4 linked regions of the Lepisosteus oculatus genome follow. The protein of the gene in region 3 interacts with the protein of the main gene of each other region in a biochemical or structural test. Links are inferred from orthologs where the notes say so. Each region holds a gene or a part of one and is shown on either strand. Other genes may lie near its edges. The genes, in order: rpa1, rbbp8, atm and abl1.

Region 1 (7,570 bases), on a different chromosome or scaffold from region 3:
TGCAGCATGTGCCTCAGTGCTGCTGCTCCCAGCATGCCCAACTCCAAAGGCCGCCCCTGTCTCTCGTCCTCCGTCTCACTCTGTGATTGGCTCCCACTCCTGTCACTCGGGGAAGCTCCGCCCCCTTTCTCCGACAGGGGCCCCGCCCCCTTCAGCCTGAGACAGAGCGTTGCCACAGTAGCGGCGCACAGGAAGCGCAGGCTGGGGGCGTGTCTGTGCGTGTGCGGGAGCAGGTGATGGACACACAGGTAAGAGGAGCCCAGGTAGCGGCCTGAGGGGTCACATCCAGGTACTGGGGTGCTGTTTGTGGAGCCGTCCACATCAGGTTGATCAGACTTTTCCCTGGTGCTCATCCTGTCCAGAGTTTCTTCGTCCCCCCTGCCCTGGTCCTGCACTCTCTTGATTTCCTCGCACCCGGCCTGCAGTGCCACCCGGAGTGCCAAGTGTGCCAGCACCCCCGCCGCCAGCAGCTCCCCCCCAAGCGGGCACTCCCAGCGATGGCACCCCTCCCACGCCTGCTCTCGACATTCCTCCCCGCAGTAACGGGCGTAACTGCAGCCCTGGCAAGGCACAGGGGAGAGCGCCCTGCGCAGGCAGCGATGGCAGTGCCAGTCCTCCGTGCCCGCGGCCCCCCTCTCCACCGCGGGTCTGACCGCTTCCTCGGGGATCAGCACGCAGCTGAACGCCTCCTCTTGCACCACCACCTCCCCGGGCGCAATGTCGGCCGCGGCCAGCAGGTGGCGACCCTTGCCGTGGCCGAAGCGCAGGGCTACGGCAGGAGACGCGCAGAGCAGGGTCCCGGTCAGCCTGCCGCTCTGTGCCTGCGGTGCCTGGCGCTCCATAACCCCTTCCCCGGCGGTACGGATCTCCGCACTGGCACTGCCCTCCTCCTCCTCCTCCCTTGCCCGCTCGAGCTGAGAGAGGCACTCTGCCCGCCTGGCCAGCAGCTTGGGCTCCAGGTGTCCGGGGTAGCCCTGGCTCAGCGCCCTGCGGATGTCCCGCAGGCACTCCTGCGAAAACAAGCAGCTGGTTTTCGGATCGGACCCACAACAACCCGGGACGTCTGTCACCACGTACCACAGCAACCACCCGGCGCCGTCCGAGTTCTGACCCGTTCTTCTCTTACCACGCTGTCACCGAGAGCCTAACTAGACATGGTGCAGCGGTGTGGTTTGGTCATTTATGGGTCCAATCAAGATCAAAAATCACCCGTCCTGTCCAAACAGCAGCGAAGGTTATGGGACTGATGCAGCTCTCCTCCGTGATTAACCAGGAGGGAAACAAGTACATCAGATCCCTTTTTATATTCTTAATTCTGCACATCAGAACCTCTGGCAAACATTTCAGGGCTCCCAGATGTTGATCAGATAATAATGTGTTCTCTCTCTTATGTCTAATCTATTAAAAGTAATTAATGCAAATAATTGGCAAGGATAAATGCAACTGTGTATAAACTGAGCGTGCTGTAAAATATGTATGTGTAATGTGATGGAACTGTTGCAACGAGTTATGCGTGTGTAACAGAGGGGATGTATTTAGATGTACAGAGCCGCTGTGCGTCAGTAAAACCTTTCCCCTGGGGGACAACAGAGTTCAGCGTATCTTAGCTCAGAGATCGCACAGTGGGGTTCAGCCCACGCCCAAGGGGGAGCCCTTCTGACCTCCAGTCAGCTCTGGGGGTTGATCCTCTGACACAGGGCGGGCCCATAGGAGGGTAACTCCAAGGCCCACACGCCAGCGCTTCATTCAGCCATTTAAAAGCTCCGTGACCCCAACCCGAGCTTTACCTTTGCCCGAAAGCTCACACTAAACCCAGCGTGCAGCGTGCAGCGTGCAGGCTTCTGGCGCTCACCTGGTACTGGGCGAGGTGGAAGAGCGCAGCGGAGCGGTTGGCCAGGCACAGGGCCAGCTCCTGGCTGCCCGGGTCCGCCTGGCACACGCCCTGCGGAGAGAGCAAGGACTAGACTGTGAGAGGGCCACCCCCCCACCACCACCACCACTCTGGCGCCACCTCCTGGCCGCTCGCAGAACTGCAACGGCATCGGACACATGAGCGCTCAAGCAGGCCGGGAGCCGGGTTTCCGAATGCAGCGTCAGCGGAACGGCGCTGGGGGAGGGGCGCAGGGCGATGTCCGCCCCTGGGGTGCCCCACGCCGCCAGGACAGCTGTCCTGGAGTCTTACAAGGCGCAGGACTGGAGCACGAAACACATGACCCTCATCTGCTGGGCAGCCAGACAGGCCCAGACCCTGCACGGCCAGCTCTGTAAGAGGTGCCGAGCGCCAGCAGTCTGGGGGCGCAGTCAGGCACCTGGACTCCCAGCTGGAAGGTGTGTGGGTTCGAATCCCCAGTGCGATCATACCCCTCAGCCCCAGTACTGCACTGAGACATGCCTCCAGTACAATGATTACAAACATAAGCTGCTTTGCTTTTCTGGACTAAGCTGCAGACTTATATTAAAAAAGAAACCAATATCAATATCGATGAAAAAAGATGTTATGTTGAGTTTCAGCCCCATCGAAAACAATATTAAAATTTCGTTGGTAATAAATGTAATTATTCTAATGGCACGTTATTATATACATAAAATGCTTGAGCATTTTAAAATGGATGTAAGGGGGGTATTTGCAGACACAAATATGAAAGCAGTGCAGACATTATGTTTATTTAATTTGTTTAATCTTTTTTCCTAACTTGAAGTTATGTAGTAGTATGTACCCCTGGCGATCTTTTTGTCTTGAACTGTTATATGCGCTCTTGTTTGTATTGTAATTTTTGTTATTCTGTTATGCATAAATACTTTTTTTTTTAAAACCTGCTGTGGGTGCAAGCACCAGCCAAATAAAAATGAATACAAATAATGAAGCAGCAATGTCAGGTAACAGAGACTGCGCAGCTGACGCGTGAGCAGAGCCGGGTGTGCCTGTAAATGAAACGGGACCGGTGACCTTAGAATAGCGCAGCAGTGCCCCCAGGTAGTCTCGTGCCTTGAACTTCCCGTTCCCCTGCTCCCTGAGCAGGCGCGCGCAGTCCGGGCTCTTGCGCACGGAGCGTCCTCGCGCCGCGCGCGACAGCAGCGCCGCATCTTCACCGCTGACGGGGCGAGGGAGGGAGGGAGGGAGAGAGAAAGAAAGAGCATCAGGCCTTCGTCCGCCTCGGCACTGAAGCAGCGCCGCCCCAGCTGAAGACGCTTCAACATGCGGTTGACTTGAGATAACTACTTTTTAACGACCGCAGAGCCAGGAAGAGCGCTGCTTCCTTCACAGAGCAGGGCTGCAGTTTCACTGCTGCCCGTTTGGGGTGTGAGAGGGGCCAGCAGGGGGCGCTCACCCTGCGGTCTGTGTGGGTCCTAATGGCCCAGTATAGATACGGGGGCACTATACTGTTAAAAGGTGCCGTCCTTTGGATGGGATGTAAAACCGAGGTCCTGACTCTCTGTGGGCATTAAAAATCCCAGGGCGTTTCTTGAAAAGAGTAGGGGTGTAACCCCAGTGTCCTGGCCAAATTTCCCATTGGCCCTTACCCATCATGACCTCCTAATAACCCCCATCTCTGAACTGGCTTCATCACTCTGCTCTCCTCCCCACTGAGAGCTGGTGTGTGGGGAGAGGACTGGTGCATCATCCAGGTGGGGCTGCACACTGGTGGGGGTGGAGGGGATCCCCATTACCTGTAAAGCGCTTTGAGTGGAGTGTCCAGAAAAGCGCTATATAAATGTAAGCAATTATTATTATAATCTGCAAACAAGCATTTTTTTACTGTACAGTTGTCACATACTCCAGGTTTTTTCAATTAAAAATCAAAATTCATGCTATAGTTTTTTTTATTAGTAAACTTTAAAAAAGTAAATATTTTTGCACAGATACAGGATTTGGACTGATCCCTCGGCTGATTATCCACGGTGCGCAAAACAGCTAATGAATTAGATGTGCAGTTTGCACACGAGCAAGACTGAGCCCGATCCCAAAAGGGATAATTCAGAGGTACACTTGCGACACTTTCATTCAAGACTTTCTACACTGACAGAGACAGGACGCGAGCTGTACTCACTTCACCAACGTGACGCAGAAAGCATACATCTCCGCCGGCTCGGTGAGCGACGTGAACGCCTGCTTTTGGACGGAAGGCAAAAGCTTCCACTTCTGTTCGACATGTCTCTGCCACTCGGGGCACGGCAAATCCATTGTTTCTTGAAAAAAATGATAAAACTAACGCCTAGCTATTGGATCTCTGCATGCAGCGGGGCACACACATTACAAACCCAGCAGCACTCTCCGGTCAAGGGTGATAGATCCCACTTTTGAGAGATCCTCCATCTTGGCTCCAATCTCCCTTATATTTACATAGCTTCGAGCCACAATGGCGCCCGTTTCGCGGGAGCGCTTTCCCCGCCAATCCGACGAACGGGGAGGGACTGTCTCCGCCGAGCACGGACCGCGCATGCTCAAGACCCGCCGTAGCCGGCGGAATTTGGCGCGTGACGTCGGGAGAGTTATAAACACACTCCGCGCGCGCTCTACAGCCAAAACTTGGCGCCACGGAATACGGACCTGCAGAGGAGAGAGGCGTATTCACCCGTCTTTGAGTTTTCAAGGAGAGTTTTTTTTGGTTAAAATCTGATTTCTTTTGCTCGCTATGACTGTCAAACTTACCGAAGGAGCCATTGAGGTAGGTGATTTTCGGGGGTGGATGCAGTAGTTTGTAGTTATTATCCACACTAGCGGAGAGTTCTTTCTGATGTCGCACTTGATAAATATTTTTTCCTAGTCGCTCAATATCGATCGCAGTGAATTGCTTTACTGGGTTTCGTCGGTGATGTAACACCCCCAGTTGTTTTTGACTCTTTCTAAGCGATGCAAGCAGAGCCCTGCTCCTGCGAATCGGGCGTGTAGTTGGTCTCCGAGCCGTGTCGCGGGCCTTCGCGCCGGCGCTGGATTAATAAAACCGCTCCACGGCTCACAACAGCCATGACCTCCGGGAGCACCCGTTAAATAAAGTGCAAGCTTGATAAACGCCATTCTGTAACAAAACAAACACCTGCTTGCATTGCATGTTGGCCAGAGCGAAACACTGCTTCCAGAACTGAAGGCGAACGGCTCGGGGTCTGGGGTCGTTGCTGTAGCTGTCTGTAGGCTGAGTGTTTTAATTTCCCACCGCAAGTCCTACACTGGCAGGAGCTCGTTAGCTCTCAGACTTCAGTCAGTGGTTACTGGGACTTCAGCTGGCCGAGAGCGGCACCCAGCCTGTCTGAGGACGGGCTTGATGTTTGTACAGGTACTGACGACGTGCCGCAGGCATCATTTTATAATAGACATGTGCTAATATACACATAAACGAATTTTTCATCTGTGTATGTTCTTGTCTGTTCTCTTAATGCTTTACATCTTAGTTCATTCTAACTGGGCTATATGCATTCAAAGTAAGGAAGTTTTTTATGATTAAGGAAGAGGGATAGAATTGTGTAGCTGTGCATTCATAATTCCAGTTTCAGTTCATCTGTATCTCGGGTTTGATATTTGATACACACTGCCAGGCCTGGCTGACCCCCCCTCCTCACTCTCTGTCCCCCCAGGCTCTGACCAAGGGCAGCGACGTGCCCAACATGGTCCTGCAGGTGGTGGTGAGTACGGACCCATCTGATCCGAGATCCGAGATCTGTTTGCCCTTGTTGCAGCATCGCTGAGATCTGACCTGTGTCCCCTCCCCCCTCCCAACCAGAACATCCGGCGCATCGAGAGCAGCGCCGGGCCGGTCCGGTTCCGGATGATGATGAGCGACGGGGTGCACACCATGTCCTGTGAGTACAGCAGCAGCGGTATTGGGCCTGTTTCAGCCGGGCAGTAGTCGGCTCCCATCGGTTGGGTTTAGATTGGAACCTCAGGAGACTGTCGGTCCTCTGGAATATGTCTCTTTCTTCTTAAAGACGGGGAACAAGCAGTGTGTCCTGCTGGCGGGGAAGCATCTTGCATCTGCCTTTGAATTTAAGTCCTTTTGATAGTTGTATTGCTCCTTATTGTGGTGCTTAAGTCTTGGTGGCTGCTCAAGTCTTTGCTCATTAAGCTCTGGAGAAGGTTATGGTTTAAGGTCGTAAACTTGATTTTACATGTAATAAATTCAGAATTTTTTAGCTTGGGGAAATTTTAGGAGCTTTTCCTAGTTGATCCAGAGTCGGTTTGAATGGCAGAGATGGACCCAGTCTCACTGTGCTCTGCTCCACTTTCCTTTGGTCCTGGTTGTTTTGCTTCTGCAAGTTCTGGTTGTGTGAGAAGTGTTCTCTCCTCTCTGTGTCTTCCAGACTTCAGGTGTCAAAGAGAGCCCTGTTACCTAAAGTATTGTTAAATGATTTATAACTGGTACTTGCACATTTTTTTAATCGTGACAAGTAAAGGGTCTGATATTTGGGTTTGAAACTACAGGGAGGCGGTGTAGTTGAGGGCTCCCTGGGGCTCCTGCACAGGTCTGTTGAAAAGCTCATGCGTCATCGGCCGCCTCAAACTCCTCGTCCAGCTCCTTCTCCCTGGAGTCCAGGGCATCACTGTGCATGTTTGTTTTTTTTCACCCCGAAATCTTCCTCCTTGGCACAGCCTTCATGCTGGCCACGCAGCTGAACCACCTGGTGGAGCAGAACACCGTGTCTTCGAACTGCATCTGCCAGATCAAGAGGAACGTCCACAACACCCTGAAGGATGGCAGGTGAGTCGTGCCGCCTGGCATGCCCAGACGTAAAAGATTCCTGCCGGTGCAAAGACAGAGAGAGAAGGACAGGAGCACTTCTGTCATTGTTGGTCTTGAAGTACAGTGAAGTCCAAGCCCTGCTAGGAGTGCATTCGTCCCCCAGGTTTATGAACTCTTGTTGAGGTGGGGTTTGAGGAGCTCAGCTTTCAGGCCACAATGAGAACCTGAAAGCTTGGCGCTGGGTGGGAGCTGTCTCCTCCGGGCTGCAAGCGCGGGCGGTCCTAAGCAGTTGCTCTGTTTTCTGGCTCTTGGGGCGCCCAGGCGTGTGGTGATCATCGTCGACGTGGAGGTTCTGAAGTCAGCGTCCGACGTGGGCGGGAAGATTGGGGACCCGGTCCCTTACGGAGAAGGTAAGGAATGAGACGCGTGCAGCATGTGTTGGGTGTCGCAGTAGGAATCCAGGATGTTCTGTAAAAAGATGGCAATTTAAGAAGTCCTAAATAATTCCTTACACTTATATAGTGCTTTTCTGGACACTCCACTCAAAGCGCTTTACAGGTAATGGGGATCCCCTCCACCCCCACCAGTGTGCAGCCCCACCTGGATGATGCACCAGTCCTCTCCCCACACACCAGCTCTCAGTGGGGAGGAGAGCAGAGTGATGAAGCCAGTTCAGAGATGGGGATTATTAGGAGGCCATGATGGGTAAAGACCAGGGGGAATTTGGCCAGGACGCCAGGCTAACACCCCTACTCTTTAAACAACAGCCTGTTGCCTGGTTTTCTTGGCTCGACTTCTATTGCTTTTATAAAAGAGGCTCCCCCACTCAAGATCAAGCTGGAACTGTCCTGTTTCTGTTGAATATGGACAATGCTGGCACAGTCTGCCCTTGTCTG
Region 2 (7,371 bases), on a different chromosome or scaffold from region 3:
AATCAACATGAATGGTATTGGACATCATTTTAAAATAAACTGTAATTCAGAAGAATTATACCTGTAACAAGGTGTATATAGTATAGTAAAACAAAACCCCCATGTTTGTACTTCAATGTAATTTAATACATTTGTGGTTTCCTTTAACAACCTAAGTTTAATTACACAAATAAATGTGTCAGATTTAAATGGGACACCCTGTATTTGTATTTCAGGCATGTTGAAATAAATACGTGAAAAGACAATGTTATATGTTATCCTTTTCCCCTAGAAATAATCACTGTAGTACAGTATTTTCCCTAACATATTACCACCATGCCAGTGTTTAAATTGTCAGTGATAAGAGATCACAGCAACAGTTTTCTGCAGAGCAGAACTGCATGCAGCTATTTACAGACAGGGATTATATGAACTGATAGAATTTTTTTCACAGTAATATAGCCTGTGTTGCAGGCTGTTTCTGACAGAAGTGCAAATATAGCTCTTATTCCATTGACAGCATGACTTTCAAAGTGTATGGTTCCTTTGGAAACTGTGTTTCACCCTTTCTCTCTTCAAGTGCTTAGCAGGTCTGAATGTCTACTTTTAGAAAATCAGGGGGGAAAAATATTGATATTTGTATTGTAGCGCTCTCGGGTTCATGTGGGTATGTGCCCTCTCCCTCGCCAACGCTGGGGACTCGAACCCGAGAGCGCTACATTGGTGTCAGAGTGGGATGGGATAGCCGTTCGCCGAGGATGGCAAAGTAAGCAGGGGAGAGCGTAAGGCATAAGGCCGACATTATAGCAGGGACCGCAGCCTCCGGGCTAACGGGAGATCTCCCTTTAGCTCAACTGGCTGGGTCCCTGTTGAGTGATGCCGGAGGCGCGGGTTCGAGTTCCCAGCGGTTAGGGGCCGACCTGAGGCGGCAGCGGCGAAGGCGCATACCCCCGTGAACCTGAGAGCGCTACAATATCATTTATTTTTGTTGTAATGTAGTTGTAACTGACTGCCCTTTAATACAAATACAGCAGAAATGACTGTTGGGAATGTTTTCAGCCTACAGAGTCCTCCTTTCACTTGGACTGCTAGCAAGCTGAGGGTTACATTGCCTGATGGATCACCCGAAAGTTAGAAATTATGGATGTGGCTTTCTCTGAACAGATAAAAGATAAAAGATTAGCTTGCTAGGGTATGTGAACAGTTTTAAAGAGAAGCCTGTCTCATTAATGCAATAATTTCCCAAGATATGACTCTACAAATCCAGTAATAAATCCAATTATTTCAGTCTGCTTTTCATGGAGAGTTATGGACTTGAATAAATTTGTGGTGAAAATAAAAACTATTTACTGTGCTTTCAAAAATAACTGGCTGATAAATACTGCCATTAAAAAAATGTAGTGACAAATCCAAATTTATTTGCCAGAAAACCTCACTTTGTGTTGAAATGGAGAGTGACTGCAATCAAATAAGATGTATATTTATTCATAATTAGAAAGCACTTTAATACTTTTAAGACAGAATCTGGCAAAAATAAGTCATGATTATAATCGCCATACTGTGCGAAGTAATAGTGAGGAACCCTTAAATTTGTCCCTCATTCGATACAATTCCCAGATACCTTTTATAACAACATATAGACAAATGTTGTTATCATTCCATTTATGTGACAACTTTCTCATCGGTGACTACAGTATACTTTTAAAGAGCCTCTTTCTTCTATTTGTAGATTTAGTAGCTGGGATTATTGTGAAGAGGAATGAAGAAATTGAGAAACAATTTTATTTCTTTCCGAAAACACATCTTATTGTTCCCATTTTCAGCATGAGATAAGTGGGTGGTAAGGATGTGCAGGGCTGAAACGCCTCTGCAACACCACCTGAAATAGCAGAACCGTGTCCACTGATATAATTAAAGGACTGGCATTTTGTTACAGGCTGTGAAAAACAAAATCAAATTAAAGACAAATATTCTTTTGCCGTTGGTCTTTTCATGATAATATTTGCTCTTGTCAAGATTATCCTTCCTTGTTTTTTCAAAGGCTGGGAAAGACATAGAAGGGGCCTGGACTTTGGACTTGAGTACTACTCCTACACCTCATTTCATAGCCGCCAGTAAAACACTAAATTCATTAAAGTGGATTACAGCTCCAAGTCAACACAATGGGTGTCTTGACAGGCAGTGGCAGTGCTTTACACCAGTGTTTCTCAACCTCTTTTACACCAGGAAACAGCTCCTTGGGGTTCTCCTCGTCTGAGGCTGAAGTTTAGATGGGGTGCACAGTAAGGATCCAATTTCATCAGCAACGGTACTTCAGGTCTCAGCAGAGACCCGTGCCAGTGGAGAAAAGCACAAGGCCCCGGCGCTCACCTGAGCTTCTGCTACTTGCCCTAGTATCACTTCCTCGCTTCCTGAACGAAGCTCTTACCAGAGCCGAGCATGCGGGCGGCTGGCGGTCTGGACCGGCTCCAGCTCAGCCAGTACCGCCCGGGTGCGACTCTCCCTGCCCTGTTCTTGCTTCGTCCCGCCCCGCCCTCCTCCGGGATGAAGAAATAAAGAATGAAAATGTGTGTTCGGGACTCTCGACAGTGTTCCCGGGCTGTTTGCTCAATCGGCTCGGTAAAACTAAAGAGCTCCGAGTGCAATTATACTGTATGACACTTCTCATGCGATAGGCGATTCAGTTTTTGTACCTTTACGGACAGTCACAGTTTCTTTTTATTTTTCATGTAACTAAAGTTTGAGTTTTTATTAAAATAATTATAGCTCAGGGATGCATGAATACTCCAAAGCAATTATTGCTTTACTGGCTTCTTTTTTCACGAACTTGCGTTCTGCAATGCAACTCTGCTTACACAACGGCTCCAGACAAGTTGACAAAATGACTACCACACGAGTGTGAAAGCCTCAGAAATATGCGAGTAACTGAATCATTCCTGCTTTCGTTTAGAAAACTTTTTAAATATCTTTATGCTTTTGCAGCCAATTCTGTTACAGGTCAAATTGTATATTTATTAATTTAAATTTTAAAATAACAGTTTTAACTTCAGTTATACTAAACATCTGTTGTCCTGTGTTACAGGATATGTCATTTGTTCAGTAAAAAAGGGGTTATCATATAACACGTTTCACAATCTTTGTGATCATCAAAAAGTGTCCCATGAAAAATTACGCAATTTCCTACTCTAGTCCTCAACGGCCAGAAGTATTTGACAAACCGGTTTATTTGAAACATATTGGAGGTTTGAAGACATCACATCTTTTTTAAAATTTAAAGCAACATTATTTGTTTTACTTAGTCAAATACAAAAGTTAATCTGAGACAGCAGTGTCAATATTGGGGACTATAGGGTCCAAAGACCACTGGTTGCCATGGAAACAATATTCAGGCTATATAACCACAGGTAATGTCTGAATTGCATTTGAACCCTAAGCACCTGCTTGACAATACATATTTTATTGCTAAGAAAGAACACATTGCAAAACAACCCCCACTCTGGTGTTTTTCTTACTATGTTACTTTCTGCAACCCTGATCATCACAGATGTTTTATGATTTATAGTTTATGACTTGCAAGACACAATTATGGTCAAATGTTGTTAAGGTACGAGAAAACACAGACAAGGGCAAGAACTCGGAATACACAGGGAAACACTATTTCAGGAACACCGTAAAATGCACGCTAGCCTTTAGCAGATGAAATAGAAACGTAAATATGATAAAATATTCTCGAACAAACTAGAGATCGACCTTGCATGTAATACCTATGAAAAAAGCCAATTTCAAGAAGTGATTTAAATCGGTTTTGCAATAAGATCCAGGAAAACTGAATCTTTTCATTTAATCTTATAGTACAATTTATCCCAGACGTTATATGTCATGGCCTTGTATGGCAGACATTTTGATTCCTGTAGTTACCTTTCCAGCGTAAACTGTTTCACATAAAGGTATTTGATTCCTACATCATTATGTTTTTTTTTAAATAAAACTCCCTCTCGTTTACTGTTATAAGTTTTTGTGATCTCGTGGCGTTTGAAATATTTTCAGCTAGCATTTTGTTAACTGACTTCCACCGTGTATTTATTTAATCTGCCGACGTTTTTATTGATGCTACAAGCAGTGTCTACACATACTGAACATGCATGGTAAGAAATCACACAGCCCTCCAGTCGCACACTTCGTATATCTCCAGATAAGAAAGCTTTCGTCTTTATGGTGGACTTGACGCTATCAAACCAGCTATGTCCCCTTCCTAGCGGTCTGAGACACACTGAAACGTGCGTGGGAGCTGTCGCTTTAAGGAGGACAGGAAGTGGCGGGGACTCCCAGAATGCACCGCGGAGCGCCAAGTGCAAACAGCGGTGTGTAAACAAGGTAAGAGTCTTTCTGCAGCGACATGTGTACATTTGATCGTATTTTACAGATGTGTGAAACTTGGACATATTACTTTGCGCTTTCTCTTGGTAATTCTTTGCCCTCGAGTTTGTTAATTGTGTACGGGTAGTTTGTCATTTTATTTGTCACCTCCTGCAGCGCGGTGGCGTGCGAGGAAAGGCAGTCGGACATTGGGGACGATAGGATATTTTAATGTAATTTGAGGTCCGAATCGCTTGATAGACCTGAAGATATTTACATTTTGGCGCATTCCCGAGTATTCAAGCATTCCTTCCGTGCTTTTATTTCACTTAAACGAAGAGCATTCTGTAATACAGCATGAGTGGGTCTTAACCTGCAGATTTGGCCATGAGCAGGTGATCTTACTGGTTGCACTGTACAACGTGACTGTGCTGTCGCAGGTCAGTAATTCGTGCGAACTGTTAAATCAAAGAAAATAGAAAGTAACCACGTATGTCGTTTCCCCTTCACAAATATAGACCCTTTATATTAAAGCGTGTCTGAGAGGAGGTCAGAGCCACTGGGCTATGAGGATAACTGAGTTTCACACCCTGAATATTTCCACTGTGTTCCCAGTATATGGAGAAATGTAATGATATGTAAACGTTAAAGTTTGTGAATAGCATTGCGTGGGAAAAACCCACTCGAGGAAGTGTGAGTGAGGCGGGGTGTAAATCCACTAAGAGGTTTAAAAGCCGGTGTTTGTTGTTTTTTTTCGGGTTTTACCGATAGGATCATTTAACCTGATCTACAGCATATCCTCTGGTACATCTGATGCGCTCGTTTTATGCTTCTCGACACGACAGTCGCTGCGCGTTGTTCATTTTCCAAACGCTGATCTGACGACTGTTTTAGACTACATGACTCCAGGCGAGCGTGTTGTCAGATTCGACGTCTGTCCGGGAAATAGTGTGACCCTGCTTTGTGCAGCTGGGCAGCCTGCACGTGGGGATGCAGCCGTTGCACTCGAACACAACGAACAGGACGGAGCTCGGAGTCGTGGGGTGACGATTAGGACTCTGAGCCGAAGGTTCGGGGTTCAGACCCCAAAGGGGCGACACTTTTAACAGGATACAGTGCCCAGAGCTCTATAGCAAGTCTGCTGTGTCTGGATGGAGGAGACCGGTAACACATATCAGTGTGCAGGAGGACAGCGTCGCCACCCGACCTGCTCTCTGCAGTTACGCAAGGCTCAAGCTGGTCAGTACCGGAGCCGGGTGCCTCCGTCGAAAGCAGATTGCTGCTGTAAATCGTGCAGGTGAAGTAGGCGGCGGCACTCTTCCCTGTAGAACAGAACTTCTGAACCAGTATCCCAGTAAGGCCCACCAGGGCGATGGGCATCTTTGGGATGAGATGGTGACTTGCTGAGCTACATAAGTAGTCATTCAAGATCCAGTGGCACTGTTCGTAAGAGTAGACCTGTGTTAGCCCTGGCGTTCTGTCACTGCTTTGCTTTTCGGCTTGTACAGTCTGCCCCACCTGCATTTCCCCCCTGGATTCATCCATCTGTCCATCTTCAAGACAGCGCTTATTCCAGGCAAGGGCTCCTGCAGAAAGCTCGGGGTGCGAGGCAGGGCGCCGCCCCAGACCAGCCGACCGTCTCTCGAACCCGGCCCGCATGGTTATGGAAGGCTGGAGGAAAACAGGTGCACCTGCTAGAAAGCAAGTAACATGCAGGCTCCGTAGAGAAGCTGGTAACCTGGTACCCAGGGGCTGTGAGGCCGGGCTAACTGCGCTGCAGTGATGAAGTTTCTCTCCTCTCCGCCTGGTCTGCGCTGCAGTGATGAAGTTTCTCTCCTCTCTGCCTGGTCTGCGCTGCAGTGATGAAGTTTCTCTCCTCTCCGCCTGGTCTGCGCTGCAGTGATGAAGTTTCTCTCCTCTCTGCCTGGTCTGCGCTGCAGTGATGAAGTTTCTCTCCTCTCCGCCTGGTCTGCGCTGCAGTGATGAAGTTTCTCTCCTCTCCGCCTGGTCTGCGCTGCAGTGGGGCCGCTGGTGCAGGACGGGTCCCATGCTGCAGCGCTGGGAGGAGCATGTCTTATCCTGCGTGTGCCGGGGGATTCGTTCGGGAGTTGCCGAGTCGGGAACAAGCCATCTAGCCCTGTTGTATACAGTGATGCCCTGATTTCTCTCAGGAAGCATTTGGACGAGGTCCTCAGAGGGACATACCCGTTACTACCAACCGTCTAGTCCCTAGACTGCAGTGGATCGCTTGGCCTCCTCTCCTCTGTAGCCTTTCTTATGTCCTTATGAAAAGCGCTATAAAAAAACGTTAAATAATAAAATGTATAAAAATAAAGAAACAAATATCTAATAATACTTTGATCACGGGCATGGCAAAAACTGAAAAATGGTGTCTGATTTGTTTTGACTTTTTTTGTATTTTGGGTTAGGGACACAGGTCCCAGTGTAATACTTAACTTCTTTAGAACTAAGAGCTACCCGATTCTGGTGCTGAATCCTCACACTCCCGTTGGATAGAGCCTCGGCTGAGGTGTTTGCTTGAAGACGGCCGCAAACCTTTAATGGTTAGATTGTTGAATGCAGTGCTTGGCTGGAAATCAGACCTGCTGGTGTGTGGGTCCCAGCGCGGGAGCGTTGCCTGCACACTGCTGTACCAATAGTCACCAGTAGATGGAGCTCGTTACACAGTGTTTCAGAAAAAAAGACTCCTCTTTGCTAAGGCTAGCGGCCTTGGTTCCCAAAGTGTGCCTGTATGTTCCTGCTCGTTATGAGCCGCTCTTCATCCAGTACCCGATTAAGGCCTGGAAACCAGATGATCAGAGTTTTTATCCTTTTAATTTCTGCATTAATTTAGTAAGATCTGAAATAAAATGACAACTGGACACAAATGAAGAATTCCAAGTGAAAAATTTAAGACCTCTTCTTAACCCTTGGCATATTGCCCATTTTAGGCAGTTTCTGTCAGTGTCCGATGCTGAGTCTCTGTTTCAGGCATTTAAAATATGTTTTGACTCCATAGCACTCCTCTCAGTAAGG
Region 3 (8,071 bases):
TGGTTGTGGGCAGGATGCTGTTATTTTGTAAAACTTTTGGTTTGGGATTCTGCAAAAGGATATGGACTTCAGAGTCAATCTCCCATCGAAAAGACTGCTTAAACTTTTCAATAAAGATTACTGGCTAAAATAAAGCTCTGTCAGTTTTGGTCCTTGTTTAGACTCCTACCCATGTTTCCAGCCATGTAGGATTACAGACTTTTAACTAGCTGACCATTAATGTAAAATGCCATTCAATTTCATCTTACCTTCCCAAGAACTTATTAATGTTTTCTGCAAGTTTCTCTTGCAGGGACTTGTCACTAAGTATCTTGTCCCTGGCGTTCTCTATAACCATTTGCTGTAAGAAACAAGGATGGAATAAATCATTGGAACAGAAGAGAAACAGATGCTAGAGATCCGCCTGACTTTGAGAATCCGATTCCAATGTGGAAGGAGGTGGGACTCACGGGAAAGCTCTCCGAGACGGGCTCCTGCTCTCCTTCGTTTTGGAATTCCTCAGTCTCCACAATGACAGTAGATATCTGGGGGGTCCTTGGTGCTCCGCCCTGTCCAGCCAGCAGCCCACCTCTCCTCCTGGGGGAGTCACTGAAACACCGCACAGCACAGGAGGATCAGGCCTTCCTGTATCCTTTCCACACAGCTCATACACTAACAGCACGCAGGCTGCCAGGCACGGAGAGACCACTACGCCTGGGCCAGCTGCCACCTCAGCCTGAGCTGCAGATTCCACGCTTGTCTAGCAGGAACAAGCAGACAAACACAGGGAAAGAGACACAGACATGGCTCTCAGCAGACATGTATTCTTTGCATACAACACTGCAGAGTTTTCCAGCTGGAAGGATTCAGAAATGACACAGGTGCTGAAGCAACACAAACCAGCAAAGCAGAGAATCCTCTGGGAAAAAACGTTGACTTTAGGAAGGCCACACCTTCTCAGCGGTCTCCTCACCATTTCCTGCGGCCCGGAGACAACTGTCCTGGGCTAAATCTGCGATCTGGAACAACAACCTGCAGAGGGGAATCTCCTACAGGAAACAAAACAAAAGGGGCTCTTAAGGAACCAGTAATCTGCAGTCCTCAGGCAGCCTTTCCATACAAGCTTTCCTCTACTGTACTCAGAATCTGGGCAAGGATTTTTCCTTAAATGGACACACTGATGATCTGTCATTATGAGAGACTAATGTATTGACAAGTACTATTTAACAGGTCAAGATGTTTTTGTAGAACAAAGGCCACAGGACTAACACACAAAAAACTAAAAACCACATGTATAACACAAAACAAAACCTTTAACTACATGTTCACCACGACCCCTCGGTGTTCCACTTACTGCTCACGTTGAGCACAGCCCTGCTTCGCTCCTGGACCTGAGACTGGCTGACGCACAGGGGGGAGGGTCTCGCGTGCAGGGAGCTGTAGCAGATGGGAGTGGAGCACCCCAGCATGGCCTGAGGCACGCACACGGGGCTGGGGCTGGGGCTGTGCTGGCCGGGAGAGGGAGTCACAGACAGCAGCCCGGAGCTGCCCGGAGCCGGCGGGGAGGGCTGAGCTCTCTGATGCCGCACGTTCAGGATCCCATTCCGGGTGCGAACTGCAACATGGGCACACGGGCACACAGCAGGGGTGAGAGCTCCGATGAGCACACGGACACGCACGCAAAGAGAGAAGCGGTGCCAGACACCCGAGAACAAAGATCTGAAAGTACAGGCTGATACTGTAAATGTGCCAAAAGGCAGAGGGGAATAAAAATTCAAAGTCAAGAATGTTTGAGATTAAAAAATCATCAAATCTTTTTTTTTTTTAATATTGAAAGAGCCAGAAGCAATGAATAGTTACAATGCCAACAGACTGTGCAGGATCTGATTCATTATGAAACGATGGTCAATTTTAGCTAAGAAAACAATACAATATGCTTTTCTTTTCAATATGGGAACATCTGCGAATGCAAGACAGAACTTTCCAGAATGTCTGAGACCGACATGGAAGGAGACATTTATAAGAGGGTTATCATAAACATGCAGAGGAAAAAATCAGTTATCTTTTTTCTAAACCTTCAATTTCCCCTTTTCTCCTACAAGTCTGAGAAATCCATTTGACAGACTCATTATGGTATGAAAGACCTGTGGTTTCCTAAAATCTAAAATGCAGTGAAAAGATACCGGACAGAAAAAATAAACTGTATTTAAATAATAAAAATGAAAAGGCCAGCTTACATCTTTGGTTGTTGTAAATGCTTGGAGAGTTCTGCATACACCTAGTGAGAGCAATAGACATCATTAAGCCATCCTGAAAAACAGTTTTGCTCAAAAACATCTTTATTCATTTTACATTTCACTATTCTCATGCCAAGATAATATCTGACAGTCCTGCAAAATTTGGAATGTGTCAAATTATAATATTTCATTTCTTTAGAAATGGGATACTTATGACAGACTCCCCGGTTCCTAGTTTTAAATGTAGTTTCAACCTACGTCCTCTGGTTAATGCGTCACTCTGTTCAGAAGAATTCCACTGGGATGGGTTTGTCAATGCCTCTTTCTGTTGAAGCCTACAAAGCTTCAGTTCTAGTCTGTCTGTGTAGGGTGTACGCTGGTCCAGCAATGTATATGGTTACTCTACCCTGGACTGGTTCCTGAGCCATAGTAGTTTTTTCGTAACACAGGTGACACAAGAAATTGTTTGCATGATGTCAGGAGCTCATGACAGTTTATCTACAAGATTTTCTTCCATTCTGCAGCTCTGGTAAAAACACCGCTGCTGCGACAGTCTCCGGGAGCAAGTTCTTATGGTTGCATATCCTGAAACAAGAGGCTCCATTTACCCCCACCCCCAGAAATCCAGTTAAAGTTTCCTTTTACCTGATCTGATTCAGAGTGAAATCTAATTTCCTCCAGAGCGACGTCATCATAGCAGGTACCTGTGACTCCTGGCTGCATTCTTGACAAAAAAAAACAGTTGTATATTAACAAAACATGAACATATGAAGCTCTGAGTCTGAAGTTATTTTAAAACCTCCAGTACTTGCCTTTTGCTTTAATGGCAACGTATTCATTCAGAATGGTGTTCAGGTTTTTCCCAAACAAAGACTGCAAAGACAAAACAACATGATAAAACAGAACGTAGGGAAACATAGGATAAATCTGAGCACACTGCTCAGATTAGAGATGTCTAACACACTGTGTATGCTGTTTTCATGAAAACAAATCTAGCACATGAAACGCAAGCTATTTCATTCAGACAGCTAATGAGAGCTTTAGGTACGGTGAGACTTTCGCAGAGAATAAAGAGTGAAATTTTGCATGTGCATGCCATAAGATGCCGAATTTCCACAAGTCTTTCCATTACAGCGTACAGGGGCGAGGGGCTCTGCTGAGATCGGACAGCACTCACAAACACGCAGGCAGGAATCGCTCCGTCCTCGGTGCTGTGCTCCGCGTACTCCTTCAGGTCCGGACTCTCGCTGATGAACGCCCGGCAAGTGGCAGTCAGGCGCTCCTGTTGGAGATACCCTTGGCGCACCCCAGAACAAACAAGCACTCGGTTTACTTCATTTACTGGAATTTCAAAGCAATATCAACTCACCAGGGCATGCATCCAAAAATACACATCCTTTGTCAATAAGCGAATTATGCACAATTGTTCGGACATGACTGATTTCTGATAACGTCCTTGCAACTGAAATCTTGGCAAGGTCATAAACGCCACTGGAATACTATCAAAATCTGACATCTGATGTACTGGACATTTTTCCCCAGTATTAATAATTTCGTCACAGTCGTTATGGAATTTGACATTAACACGTACCTGGTGTGTAATTTAGTATTTTAGGTGGTAGTACTCCGACCACCGTTGTTTCAGACAGCTTACACCCAGTGGTATCGATATCATGCATCAAATATTATATGCAGTGCTTTCTGTTATCTACACAGTGAAAGACACGCTCTTTAGCTAACCATGCTCTTGTCCCCCAGATACAGGCTCTGGTACAGTACGTGTTGCAGGGGCCCTTTGTGATCAACACAGCTCTCAGCTGCGACCGCAGAGCAAACTCCCCGGCTACACGCCTGTGTCCCGCAACAGACCCCGCTGCGACCCCTCCAACTTACCCAAAACCAGCCTCGCAATGTCAGATGGTAGCAACATGGCTGTTGTGAAGCCTTTTCAACTGGCCCTCATACGCACAGTCATGAAAGAAAACCGAACAGCACACATTTGAGCCGTTATACTTTTTCTCAGCTCAGCTGAACACAACTCCCAATAACACCCACCCGCAGAAAAAGCGCGGAAATTCAGCACGTTTCACCCGGAAGTATTCGCCTAAAAGGCTGCATGGGAAATGTAGTTCGGGTGTTCGGTCAGTCAATGTCAGTACGCGAGACAGGGTTACATGGCGGATAATGTATTAACATATAGTAGCGCTCTTGGGTTCAGAATATTATATAAAACGTTAATTGTGCGTAACAATGGAAACTGGCATAAAATAAATCAGAGGTCCAAACAGATATTCTGTCAGTGGAAATGTTTTTATCAAAAATGTTATTGCAACAATAATATATACAATACAGACAAGAGTTTATATACATAACATCGTCAGGGGTACATAACACAGCTGCATTTTACAAAATAATTAAATGAGATAAATCAAGGTACGCACAGATTGTATATTCTTACGCTTATAGCAAAACGTCTGGAGACATGCTGTGTTTTGAACTGTTCAAATGGGGGTCTCTTCCCAGACCGTTTAATTTTATGTAAGTGTCATGATTAAATTTATGACAAATGATATGATATTCTGTATTTTTTTCAACGGGATTAAAAATACAGTGGCAGTGCGTTTAAAGCTCCAGTCTGCAGCTCCTGCACCAGAGACCCCCTGCCTCGCTGGGACTGGGGAGGCGGAGCTATCTCAGGAACTGGGGCCGTGATTGGCTAGCGGAACCGCCCGTCTTCGCAACGACCCGGAAATGAAGTTGAAGTTGGGGAGGCGCGGTTTGTGTTTGTATTGCTGTGCGTGCTGTGCTGTCTTTATAGTGGACAGTACTTGGGATTTAGTTTAAGTGAACGTCAGAACACGGCCCTGTCGTGAAATAAAGAAAGCTATATAAGGAGGTATGTGAATAGGTACCCAGTTCCCAGCGATTTTTAGATGCGGAGAATCATTTAGTAGTTTAAGATGATTTGACGTCAATTTTAATCAGACTGCATAGCTAGCTTACTTTACTTTAAAGTCTGGATCTTGATCGTATGTTTTTGGTAATACCGTGCAGATCTAAACAAGTGTGTGTAGCTCGCTTGTGATTGTTGAACGTGTACACCTAGCACGGTCATCGCCGATCTATTCTGAAGGCAGACGGGGACTCCTGGACTTGAAGCACCTGAAGCAGTGCTACTCCTGCTGTAATACTGCGTTCTCCGTCCGGCTGGTGTGGAAGGTCATCAGACGGCAATGTGGTCCTCTCATCGCCCGTGTGCGCTGTAGATCTTAGCAGGATCTCAGGGACTGCTCCTTACAGCTCAGTGGGATGGGGGGTTGGGCACTTTAAAAAACGAAACCAAAAACGTTTAAACTGCATTAATGTGAAACCCTTATTAATGGAATGATTTATGTATAGAATCGTTTGTGTTTGTGATCAGAAGGCATACTTTGAAGGGGTGTAATGAATCAAAACAGGCCTGTGTCTGCAACCCGCCCCCCACACACGCTTCTCCAGTTCGATTCTGTGCTCCTGCACTGTCAGTGCGGCGTCAGTACTCGACATCGATTCCCCTGTCTGCCTCTGCAGGCCCCCAGTGCAGCGCCACCCTGAGGACAACATGAGCCTGTTGCTGCATGAGCTCCTGATGTGCTGCCGTGGGCTGGAGAGCGACAAGGCCACGGAGAGGAAGGTAGATGCGTTCACCTCTGTGCAGGACAGGGGCGTGAGTCGCTCAGGAGTGACCAGATCACTTCAGTGCTGATGTTCAAAGGTTCAAAGGTTAATGAGGAAGCTGAAAAAGTCTGAGAATGTAATAAGCTTTCTTTCATTCATACATTTGTTTTTAAGTGAGTAACTTTTGGCATTCCTATGAAGCATTTTCCCTGACATAATGAGTGTTTTGACAATAGTGTGGATTTGATGTATTAAACAGCTGTAGATTAAACAATCAGTTGCCACTAGCAGAATGTTCTTAGGAGTCCACCTGTCAATGTTATTTTGCAGAAAGAAGCGGATAAATTTAAGCGGCTCATCGTGTCTCCTGAGACAGTTGAGGCCCTGGACAGAGCCAGTTCTTCAAGAGCAGCGAAGGGTTCCAAACAGCTCACCTGGGATGCTGTCTTTGGGTAGGTGCTCTTAAAATGAGCCCGAATGAATGACCGTGTGTGATGAGTTCATGCCGGTCTGCTCCAGGTCGCATTAGTCACTGAGGATGTTTCCTGTGTGTTAGTTGTGAAGCCTTGTTGTGGATTTTCTGTCACACAGCCTAACTGTGCTGTGCACCCACCCTTTCGCCGATTTGGTTTATACACACACGCAGCCCAGCAGTGCTCCTGTCTGGAACAGTGCTCACAGGGAGTCCTGGAGGTGCTCTGTTTGTAGCTGAGGGGGAATGCCTTGTAAAATGGCGAAGATGCACGTAAAGCCTCTTGCACAAGCCGCAGCTCTCACTGGCTCGTGTAGAAGCCCCAGTGCGCTGTGCTCCTGTGTTCTTGCACTGTACTGCCAGGGCAGCTGCAGGGTCTTACCTGCTCTGTAGCAGAGCAGCACAAGCAGGATGGCGCCTCTGCTGGCCTTGCAGGAGACAATGGTAAACCCACGAGTGACGGCCAGTGTGTAGTATTCTGAACTTGTCAGAAAACAAAAGCCCAGCTCCCCCGTTTTTACCACCAGGCTCTCAGTCGTGTGAGCGGGTCGCGATTTCAGCGGTCTGGCCGAGCGTAGTGACATCTGCAGCGAAAGGGGTGTTTAAGAAGCCCCTGCTGGACGTGCGGTTTAGAAATTGGATGCTTTAATTAACTGCGGCCCAGGCGAATCTGACAAAGCAGCGGCTCTCGTCCCTGAAGGGTTCTGCGCCGGTACGTGGAGAGAGAAACGGAGGCGCTGCAGACTGGGAAGGCCAATGTGTCCGCCACCACACAAGCAAACAGGCACAAAAAAATGCAGGAAGTCAGCAGCTTGCTCAAATTTTTCATCAGATGTGCAAACAAAAGTAAGTGACCATGTTTTAAGTCAACACAGATCTTTGGCAGCTCATTGACCGCTTGCTTAATCTCCTGCCTCCTTTCCCTGCCCGTTGTTCACACATTGGAGCGATTGCCTTTCGCAGGAGGCCCCCGCCTGAAGTGCACGGACCTCCTGGCTCACCTGGTGGGCGTCCTCAGGAGCTCCTTCTCCTGCAGTGCCTATGGAGAGGACTACAGCAGCATCCTGCTGAAGGACATCCTGTCTGTCCGCAAGTACTGGTGTGAGGTCACACAGCATCAGTGGGCTGGTAGGTGCCTTAACCAGCACCTGAGCTCCACTCCATTAAGTGTGTGAGCCCAGACTAATATATTCCCCATTCCGACTTCAGCTCAGCAGTCAGGGTGGAATTAGAGTCTGTACTTGGAAAGATTAACAATGAAATAGAACTGCTGTGCCGTGTTGAAGTGCTGATTCCCTGTGTTCTCCTGTCCAGAGCTGCTGGAGGTGTATTGCGGTTTCTACAACAGCAGCTCCAGTGCCATCAACCGCGTGCTGGTGAGCAGGATCATCCACACCCTGGTGAGGGGCTGCTGCCTGCAGACAGAGGGGCTGGTGCACAAGCTCTTCAAGTTCTTCTCCCGAGCGCTGCTGAACGCCAGGTACCGCACCTCGCTGCTCCGAGGAGAGCCCTGCCCTGCGGTCCGTGACGTCTGAGCGTGTGTTCTGTGCCTCGTGCAGGAGGGAGAAGTACCTGGCTGTCCTGGAGCACCTGCTGGCTGCTCTGAACATCTTCCTGAGGGCCTCGGCCGTGAACTGCCGCACACGGGTCTGCGGGCTGGGGGAGGAGCTCCTGCCCTCTGTCCTGTGCGTCTGGGCCCAGCGGCGGCCGCAGGACCTGCTGAAGG
Region 4 (7,693 bases), on a different chromosome or scaffold from region 3:
AAGGTGAGTGTCTTCTGAGCAGTCAAGCACTTTGTACTTTATTGAACACTCTACATATATAGTTTCTCTCTTACAGTGGGAACCGTCTCGAATTAGTCTCGTATTTAGTCCAGCTTAAAGAGACTGTAAAAAGTGAATGTAAAAGATTAAGTAATGCATTTGTTTTTAAATCACACCGACTGTACTGGATAAAATTGATTAAAATGGATAAGAATGTTTGCATGGACCTAGATTAATGCTCTCAATACTTCCGACTAGTCACCTGTGTCATTGCAGGTAAGCCTTTTATTGATTCAGACCTCACGCCGCTTTTGATAGCAAAGCCAAAACCGTTGTTAATGATAAAGACCAGAACACCCGGCTCTCTTTTTATTTTTATTTTTTTTTGCGCCTCCGTGTGTGAAGGTGATTGACCTTTCTTAACCTCAAATGCGTGACCTTTCAATAGGCTCGTAACTAGCCAGAACTTCCACTTCCCTCACTCCTCCTCACAGCTGGGTCAGGGGGTGCTGGTGCAGGTGTCCCCATCCTTGGTGAAGAGGCAGAAGACCCACTTCCACAACCTGCCCTGCGGCGCCTCCATCATCCTGGGCAACAACGGCTACGTGTGGCTGTATCCCACTCCCGGGCAGCAGGACGAGGAGGCGGGGGGCTTCTACACCAGCCTGGAGGTAAGATGGGGTGGCAGGGCTCACCGAAGAACTCAAACACAGCCGCAAAAAGTGGGAGAGGGGGTGGATCACTAGGATTGGTAGCACACGGATCTGGATTTTGAACATCTCGGATGGCCTTTTTTTATCCTAGACAGTAGCCTACACGGTAAGATTTATTGCGCGGTCTCGCTCTTTCGCTTAGCTCCGTTGAGCTGCTGTAACGATGCATAATCCTGTTTCTCCGTTCCTGTGTCCCTTTCCTCCTCCTCCTCCTCCAGCCCGTCTCTCTCTCGGACAGGGAAGTGATCTCCAGGTTACGGAACTGTCTGCTGGCCCTGGCCACGCACAAGGTCCTGCTGTTCGACACCAGCGTGCTCTACTGCTACGAAGCCTCCCTCTCGCACCAGGTACAGCGTTGTAGAGGTGCGCCGTCCCAGAAAGTCCCTGGGGCTACAGCTGTACTTGGTGTAACCTGCTCGATTTGTCGAGCTGTACAGCAGCTTGTAGACGAACGTAGGACATTTCTTTGAAGTGGAACAGACGGTCAGGCTGAAGGAACTGAATCTTTTTAGTTTTGAAGAGCACATAGAGCTGAACGGAGAGGGCTGTGTGGGGAACTGATTTAAATATTCAAAATCCCCAAAGCCCTTATTAGCGGAGGACTCGAGTGCAGTTCAAACTGCTCCTGTGGAAGAGAGGTGGAGCAGCAGTGAAGTGTTTTTTTAGTACCGGTATGTGCGAGACTCATTGTCGGTGTTCGTCCGACTGCCTCTGCAGATCAAAGACGTCCTGAAGCCGGAAGTGATGGAGGAGATCGTGCTGGAGACACGACAGAGGCTGTTGGAGCAGGAGGGGTAGGCGCCCGGACAGCCGACGTGCGGCCCTGCCGATTCCTTTTCCTCGGCCCGTCTCCATTCCGGTCACCTGGGGTTCGGAGAAAAGAGGTTTTGTCTCCCCTTCGGGCTGTGAACAGCTGACATGACGTCACAAAGGGACCAGCATTTGTTGTTTTTTTTTTTTTAAAGTTGACCAATGAATTTTTGTGTAATCGATCATTTTTGACGATTTAACAGTTGAACACAGTTGGCAGGGAGAGGCGTTGGAAGCACCTACAGCCAGTGTGTTCTTAAGAGGCTCTTCCACTGTTGTGTGGAGAAGCTCAGGGTCACATGTAAGTTCTGTTTATGTCCATTATTCTGTTAATAAATGACATTACCACCCCCGAACATTGGAGTAGAGTCTTTTGCATGAGTATTTTAATTGTTGTACACGTTTAGGGTTTTGTATAACACAATTGTGTTTTAGGTTTACGCTTAGCTCACGGCGATCGAGTTCATGTTTGGGTCGGTACTGCCCCTTTCCCTTGCCGTCTTTGTAAACTATCCAAATGAACCTTCTTCCAGGTTTCTGTTGATTCCTGGCCGTTCTCTGGGGTGACCCCCGTCACCTAGGGTCCTGATTGCTTGGTCAGTCATGAAGAAGCATTAAAATAACAGGATTCGGATGCTGGTGAAAGAAGAGCTGTTTATTCATATGCAGACGGGAGATCAGTTTGCGAAAGCTAGTCTCTCCGAAAGATGTTGCTCAGCGCTTTTTATACACAGTGACAGACACACGTCCTACCTTTAACATAGATGACCTAATCCCTAAAACGAACCATTCGTTTTTAGTCAAGCTTGGATAACGGGAAAACAACTCCTTATCGAGACTTTCGTTATTGCTTACATTTGCGAAACAAGACATTCTGCTTCCCTTTTTACTCTAACGTTTCCACTGACCTATAGATGCCCCCTGGTATGCTTCCACTTACCAGGGTTATAAGCAGTTAGGAAGCTAAAAGACAGGCAGTTTGTTCGTTTTTATAAAATGTGCAAATGGCACATCAGCCGGGTCCTGTGGATGGCGCAGGGCTCCGCTGGGTTAGATCCCTGGGCTGCTGTCTGTGTGGAGTCTGTATGTTCTCCCTGTGCTCACGTGGGTTTCTTCCCACAATCCAAAGACACGCTGGTATGTTAGTTGGCTTCTGGGACAATTGGCCCTGCTGCGAGTGTATTGCCCTGCAGTGAACTGGTGTCCCCTCGGGGTAATACAGGGACGCAGGGAAGCCAGAGTCTGTCCCGCCACGCAACGGGCACAAAGCAAGATACACCTGTGCCAGTGTGCAGGGCACACATGGACAGCAGGGCCCATTTTCCCAGAAGCCAGTCAGCCGTATGTCTTTGGAGCCAGTGGAAACCCGCATGAAGATGGGGGGGAAAACATACAAGCCACAGGCTGAGAGCACCCCAGGTCCAGAATTGAACCCGGGACCCCAGCTCTGAAGTGCTAACCACTGTGCCACCAAGCCTCCCTAGTCGAAAAAATGTGCGCCTGAAACATGCATGTCCTTCATCTGAGGAGCACAGGAACAACTGCAAAGCCTTTCCAAGTATTCGTCCACTGCTGATGGAGCCCTGGAAAGAGCACTACGAACACGGTTTTAAAACTGGCAAGAGTGGCAACAGCTGCTAGGGGGAGCACTTGGATCATTTTGGTTTAAGTTGTCAAAAAGTAAACTAAAGATGAAGATATCATACACATCCCTCATCGTTAAAACAAGATGGAGACTTTCCTTTTAAAACATTCATTTTTTTGGCTGACTGACAAAAGTTAATGGAAGGACTTTCTTTTATCAGAGTAAAATCAATTAGTGCCTTTTTCACTGAAATCCAACGGGGGTTGCAGCCTTACTCCTGATCTTTCCTGATCTGATCTTTGTAGTTAAGCTAATATGTCCTATTCTTTTTGCCCACTCATTTCTCAATACTGGGAACTGCAACTATATTATATGTTTTTGCCGATTCTCATTTGCCTTACGAAAATGTATCGGAAAAAAACTTCTCGTTTGGCGAAACGAGAGGAAATAACTTCACAATACAACGTATTTACACTTCCTGAACCTCGCAGAAATAGTTTTTGTTCGCCAAGAAGGAAAACATCAATGTAGGACAATACAGCCCCAGGTATGCACCTTCTTTATAAGAAGACCGGGATGTAACTCTATGCAGGTAGTAAAATAACTCATTTGTCCATGTGCTGATCACGAGTGCGCTTGTTGCTCCTGGATTGAGTGGGGTGATCAAAAAGCTGGGTTTATTCAGAAGAAGGGGGATAGGACAGGTAACTCTGGTCACCAAGTGCTGCATTGGTGTCTGTTTTGTTTTCTATTGCAGAAGACAGGGACTTTATTGAACCGAGTGGATGATTAAATCAGCTTTGTTTTCCAACTCTGGGGCTAATTGCAAACAGCCTGTAAAACCGGCTGCCCGCAGCACTCAAAGACTGGCGTTTGCCCTTTCTCCTGGAAGAGGTTTCAGATCAAAGGACTCACATCAGTCTTGTTTATTGCAAAAGTAAGCGAAATTTGAATCTTGGAGCCAACTGTGCGAAAGAAAGGAACAGAAAGCGATACTTCAACAAAAGGATTGTTGAAAAACATGATCCTTCAGCATAACTTTACGAATTTGTTTAAGAAACAATAGAAGCATATGCAATGAAATGCATCCGATTGAAGTTCCGTGGATTTCCCATCTTGAAATCTATGCATGTAATTGAGTGGACATAAACTTAATGACAAACACCCGGAGCCAGACGAGAGCGGGTGGGCTGCAGCGAGCACACACGTAGTTTGCGGGACAGTTTCATTTTCCTGCTGGTTTGATTTGGATATGTTCTCTTGCAGAATCATTTTGGTTCCCCGTACAACGTGCGAACGGCCAGTTTCTGTCTTTCTGCCATTAAAACCACATCTCTCTGGACCTTAAGCGCCCTTCTCGCTGAAGCGCGCCCCCCTATTAAAGAATCGGGGGCGCGCTTCCTTTTTCCTTTCCTGCGCTCCCCTACCAACGTGCTCGTTCTCGTCCTCACATCCTCTTGCGCGCTTCCCTCGGGAATTCTTACGTTACGTCGGGACGCATGGACGTAGACGTAACCCCCCCCCCCCGCAACCAACACCACCTCCTGTGTAGTTGATCTCCTTGCGTAGAGAAACATGGCGGCGATTGAGCGTATGTGACCGAGGTTTGAGTAGCAATTCCACCTCCGGGAGAGTCAGAAATCCATGCAAACAGCCGGAGTACGGAAGATAGGACGTGCTTGCTCGCCCTGATCGGACAGGCGCCCCGGGTGTCCCTCGTCATCGCCGAGGAAGACGTCGCTAACACGGCGGACAGACGGAGCGGATCGCCGCTTGCCCGAGTCTTAGGGAGCCCCGGGTACTCGGGCACGGGAGAGCCCGGGAGGACGGACGATACTGGACGGGGAGGTCGGGGAGAGCCGGAGGGGGTGGGGGCGGAGGTGTCCGGGGTCCCCCCCAGATCTGCAGCCGGAGGGGGTCGTGGCGCTGTAGCAGAGGCGCACGGTGACAGACCGGCCGGGGGGCACGGAGACTGACGCCCGGGCAGCACCCCGAGACGCAAGCTCGGGCGTTTTACATCAAAAATAATGATGAACAGGGAAAATCCGATCCGTGCTGATTGAGGCACCCCCCACCCCCTTTTAACGCGCTGCGCCGCGACTGCAGCGGGGTCGCTTCGACGCGCCCCGGTCCGAGTTCCCTACTTTGTTGTGCACCGAGGTCCTGCCACCGCTTTTCAACTTTGCAGCGTTTATTAAACTTTGTTTTTTGTTTTTTTTAGCCGAGTTCCTCCACCCAGACCAGGAATAAGCTAGCATCATATCGGGTTGTCCACACACACACACACCTGAAAATACAGACGCGTGAAAGAGACGGGGAGGGGGGAACAAAATAGGAACAGAACCGTTTCGAGAAGCTGTGAGGTCGGTGCTCGGCGGCTGTCTGGCCGCGTACGGCTTGTGGTTTGTCGTAGGTAGCGGTGCACTGGTGTCTTACAGTATATCTTGCGGGCAGAAGACGTCTTTCGGCGAGCCGGTGTCTGCGGGCTGCGCTCCGAGCAGATCGGCCGCTTCCACGACCACTATGCACCGCGTAGCGCTCTCCGGGGGTAGCCGTGTCAGAAAACCAAACTCCGCATCCCTCCCTTTAATGTGAGAAAACCAAAACAACCCTTACCAAACTGCGGGAATCGTCGATGGGGGTGATCTTGATGAAATCGTACACAAAAAAAAAAAACAGGGGTCTTGAATGACACACAGGTGTGCAATGTGTTGCTTTGCGTCTGCAAAGATCGCAGTGAATGTATTGTGCGTAAACAATGAATACAGTGCCTTACTTTCACAGATGCCCTCCTAAGAGGACTTTAAATACCAGTAGGTGATCACACGTCCTGCTGCAGGGATTGCTGTTTTACTGTTACATTATGGACCCCTAACCAGGTCTGATATCGAGAAGTCTTTTTTTTTTTGTTGTTGTTGTTGACATAGTTCACAGAAAGGCGGACAGGACTGTGATCGCGTGTCAGCCGCCCGGGGTTCATATCGTGTGTAATATCAGAGCCCACGGAACTTCATTCCAGTCAGATCATTTTTATTTTATCCACACTGAGAGATTTATGTTCTCGGCCGTGTGTTAGTCATAAAAGCACACCCAGGCAGCCGACTCTGACCTCTTTAACGGCACACTGAAAGGCCTTTATGTAAATACGCTATTCTGGAGATGATTAGTAGGCTAGACTTTTTAAAAGGGGGCTTTCGGTTTTTTAAAGCGGCTTCATCATTGGCTGACCCGAGGACTTTCCTAGGATCTACCTGCTGAAGTTTAAGCACTAAAAAAAGAGAGGGGGAACCTGGATTCCAATCCTTGGCCAAGCTGAAGCTAGCACACCAAATGAGATTATGCAATGAGAATGACCCCGATCCATACCCTGAAAGGTATTGAACTTGCCAAACTGGATGCCCCGAATGGTTCCTCGTAGCTGCTGCAGACGCTGCCCTGGCGGAAATTTTTCCCCCTGAGGGAAACGGGAAAGCGCGCACACACGCTACGGTGCTGTAAATGATCGGTAAGGGGGAGGCGAACGGCGAAGGCGAGGAACAGAAGGCAGCCCCGCTCCCGTGTCCGATTTCCCCGCCGCCCAAGTTCCGCCGGGGCCCGGGGGCGATGCAGGAGTGAGCGTCCGGCGCTCCCCGCCCGCTCCGCTCGGTCTCTCCCCCCGTCCTCGGCCACAGGAAAGCGGACCCCGGCCGAGCCCGGCTGCTGATCCGAGGATCCGGACGGCGGATCGTGCCTCCTTCCTGGCGGTGGCCTTGGCATCGTTCCTTTATGGGGCAGCAGCCGGGGAAAGTGCTCGGGGACCAGAGGAGACCAAGTCTGCCGGCTCTGCACTTCATCAAGGGAGCGAGGAGGGAGCCGTCGCGCCGTGGAGGCCAGCACTGCAATGTCTTCGTGGAGCACGGTAAGAGCTGTTCCAACAGCTGAGCTGGACGCAGGGGTTCAAGCCGCCTAGACGCTCATTTTGTTTCCCCGCCCTGTTTCTAGAGAGTGCACTGTGGTGGAGAGGGGGAGCTGACAGGACGCTTGTCCCTGTGCCTTGTCTGCATCCAAGTGTGTTCTTGCGCTGCGGTGCGAGGTGAAGGGTTAACAGACGCCCCAGCCCTGCGAGCGCTGTAGAGTTACTAGTCAACACAGCTGGAATCAAAATGAATAGTTATTGGGCCTCGTTTTGCATTAAAAACATTGTGCGTTTTGGTAGCGTGCAGCTCGATTTCGCACCGCTGCCAAAAGAAGGATGCTGTTCTGTGAAAGAGGAGGCCTGTCTGTGGAGAGCTGGTGCTCTGTTGGTCGGTTTGTTGATCCAGCTGGATGGTTTCACCGATAAAGACAGGGGCTGTGGCCCAAGTGAGTCATCAGTAGCTAAAGGGTGTTGAGACTCATTTCTCTGATTGGGCTGGCTAATTAACAATGTGGTTCAGCATGAAGAAAGAAGCTTGCGTTAGTAGGGTGTCTACAACAGCATGAGGCTGGGGATCACAGTTGAGTTCCTTCCCGGTGTTGACTGACCCCTGTGTGGCAGTAGCACTCTTTCCTGTATCAGGTTCGGTTTCCGTGCCTGTGATTGAGTTTGTGAGCAGCGTGGTCTCAG

What was found.
Region 1: the proteins of atm (region 3) and rpa1 form a complex in vitro, tested with the Homo sapiens proteins (3 studies listed by BioGRID, with this or other methods). The link is inferred for Lepisosteus oculatus from reciprocal best matches to the Homo sapiens genes ATM and RPA1.
Region 2: of the proteins of atm (region 3) and rbbp8, one has a biochemical effect on the other in vitro, tested with the Homo sapiens proteins (4 studies listed by BioGRID, with this or other methods). The link is inferred for Lepisosteus oculatus from reciprocal best matches to the Homo sapiens genes ATM and RBBP8.
Region 4: of the proteins of atm (region 3) and abl1, one has a biochemical effect on the other in vitro, tested with the Homo sapiens proteins (3 studies listed by BioGRID and IntAct, with this or other methods). The link is inferred for Lepisosteus oculatus from reciprocal best matches to the Homo sapiens genes ATM and ABL1.

What each region holds. Positions count from the first base shown.
Region 1 is NC_090721.1:10,064,855-10,072,424, forward strand, and holds the start of rpa1 (replication protein A 70 kDa DNA-binding subunit), read left to right. Parts: upstream 1-4,467; 5' UTR 4,468-4,634; coding exon 4,635-4,667; intron 4,668-5,571; coding exon 5,572-5,619; intron 5,620-5,717; coding exon 5,718-5,796; intron 5,797-6,583; coding exon 6,584-6,692; intron 6,693-6,995; coding exon 6,996-7,084; intron 7,085-7,570. Other genes in the region: smyd4 (SET and MYND domain-containing protein 4), read right to left, coding at 1-1,010, 1,853-1,942, 2,948-3,092, 4,050-4,183. UniProt on the Homo sapiens protein: As part of the heterotrimeric replication protein A complex (RPA/RP-A), binds and stabilizes single-stranded DNA intermediates that form during DNA replication or upon DNA stress.
Region 2 is NC_090701.1:57,679,920-57,687,290, forward strand, and holds the start of rbbp8 (DNA endonuclease RBBP8), read left to right. Parts: upstream 1-4,299; 5' UTR 4,300-4,353; intron 4,354-7,371. UniProt on the Homo sapiens protein: Endonuclease that cooperates with the MRE11-RAD50-NBN (MRN) complex in DNA-end resection, the first step of double-strand break (DSB) repair through the homologous recombination (HR) pathway.
Region 3 is NC_090700.1:682,655-690,725, forward strand, and holds the start of atm (serine-protein kinase ATM), read left to right. Parts: upstream 1-4,994; 5' UTR 4,995-5,112; intron 5,113-5,786; 5' UTR 5,787-5,817; coding exon 5,818-5,889; intron 5,890-6,203; coding exon 6,204-6,325; intron 6,326-7,045; coding exon 7,046-7,191; intron 7,192-7,308; coding exon 7,309-7,473; intron 7,474-7,659; coding exon 7,660-7,825; intron 7,826-7,904; coding exon 7,905-8,071. Other genes in the region: protein NPAT, read right to left, coding at 249-340, 450-588, 953-1,028, 1,334-1,594, 2,217-2,257, 2,862-2,940, 3,029-3,089, 3,394-3,512 and 1 more.
Region 4 is NC_090719.1:14,553,824-14,561,516, forward strand, and holds the start of abl1 (tyrosine-protein kinase ABL1), read left to right. Parts: upstream 1-4,644; 5' UTR 4,645-6,873; coding exon 6,874-7,006; intron 7,007-7,693. Other genes in the region: exosc2 (exosome complex component RRP4), read left to right, coding at 1-3, 495-671, 932-1,060, 1,431-1,511. UniProt on the Homo sapiens protein: Non-receptor tyrosine-protein kinase that plays a role in many key processes linked to cell growth and survival such as cytoskeleton remodeling in response to extracellular stimuli, cell motility and adhesion, receptor endocytosis, autophagy, DNA damage response and apoptosis.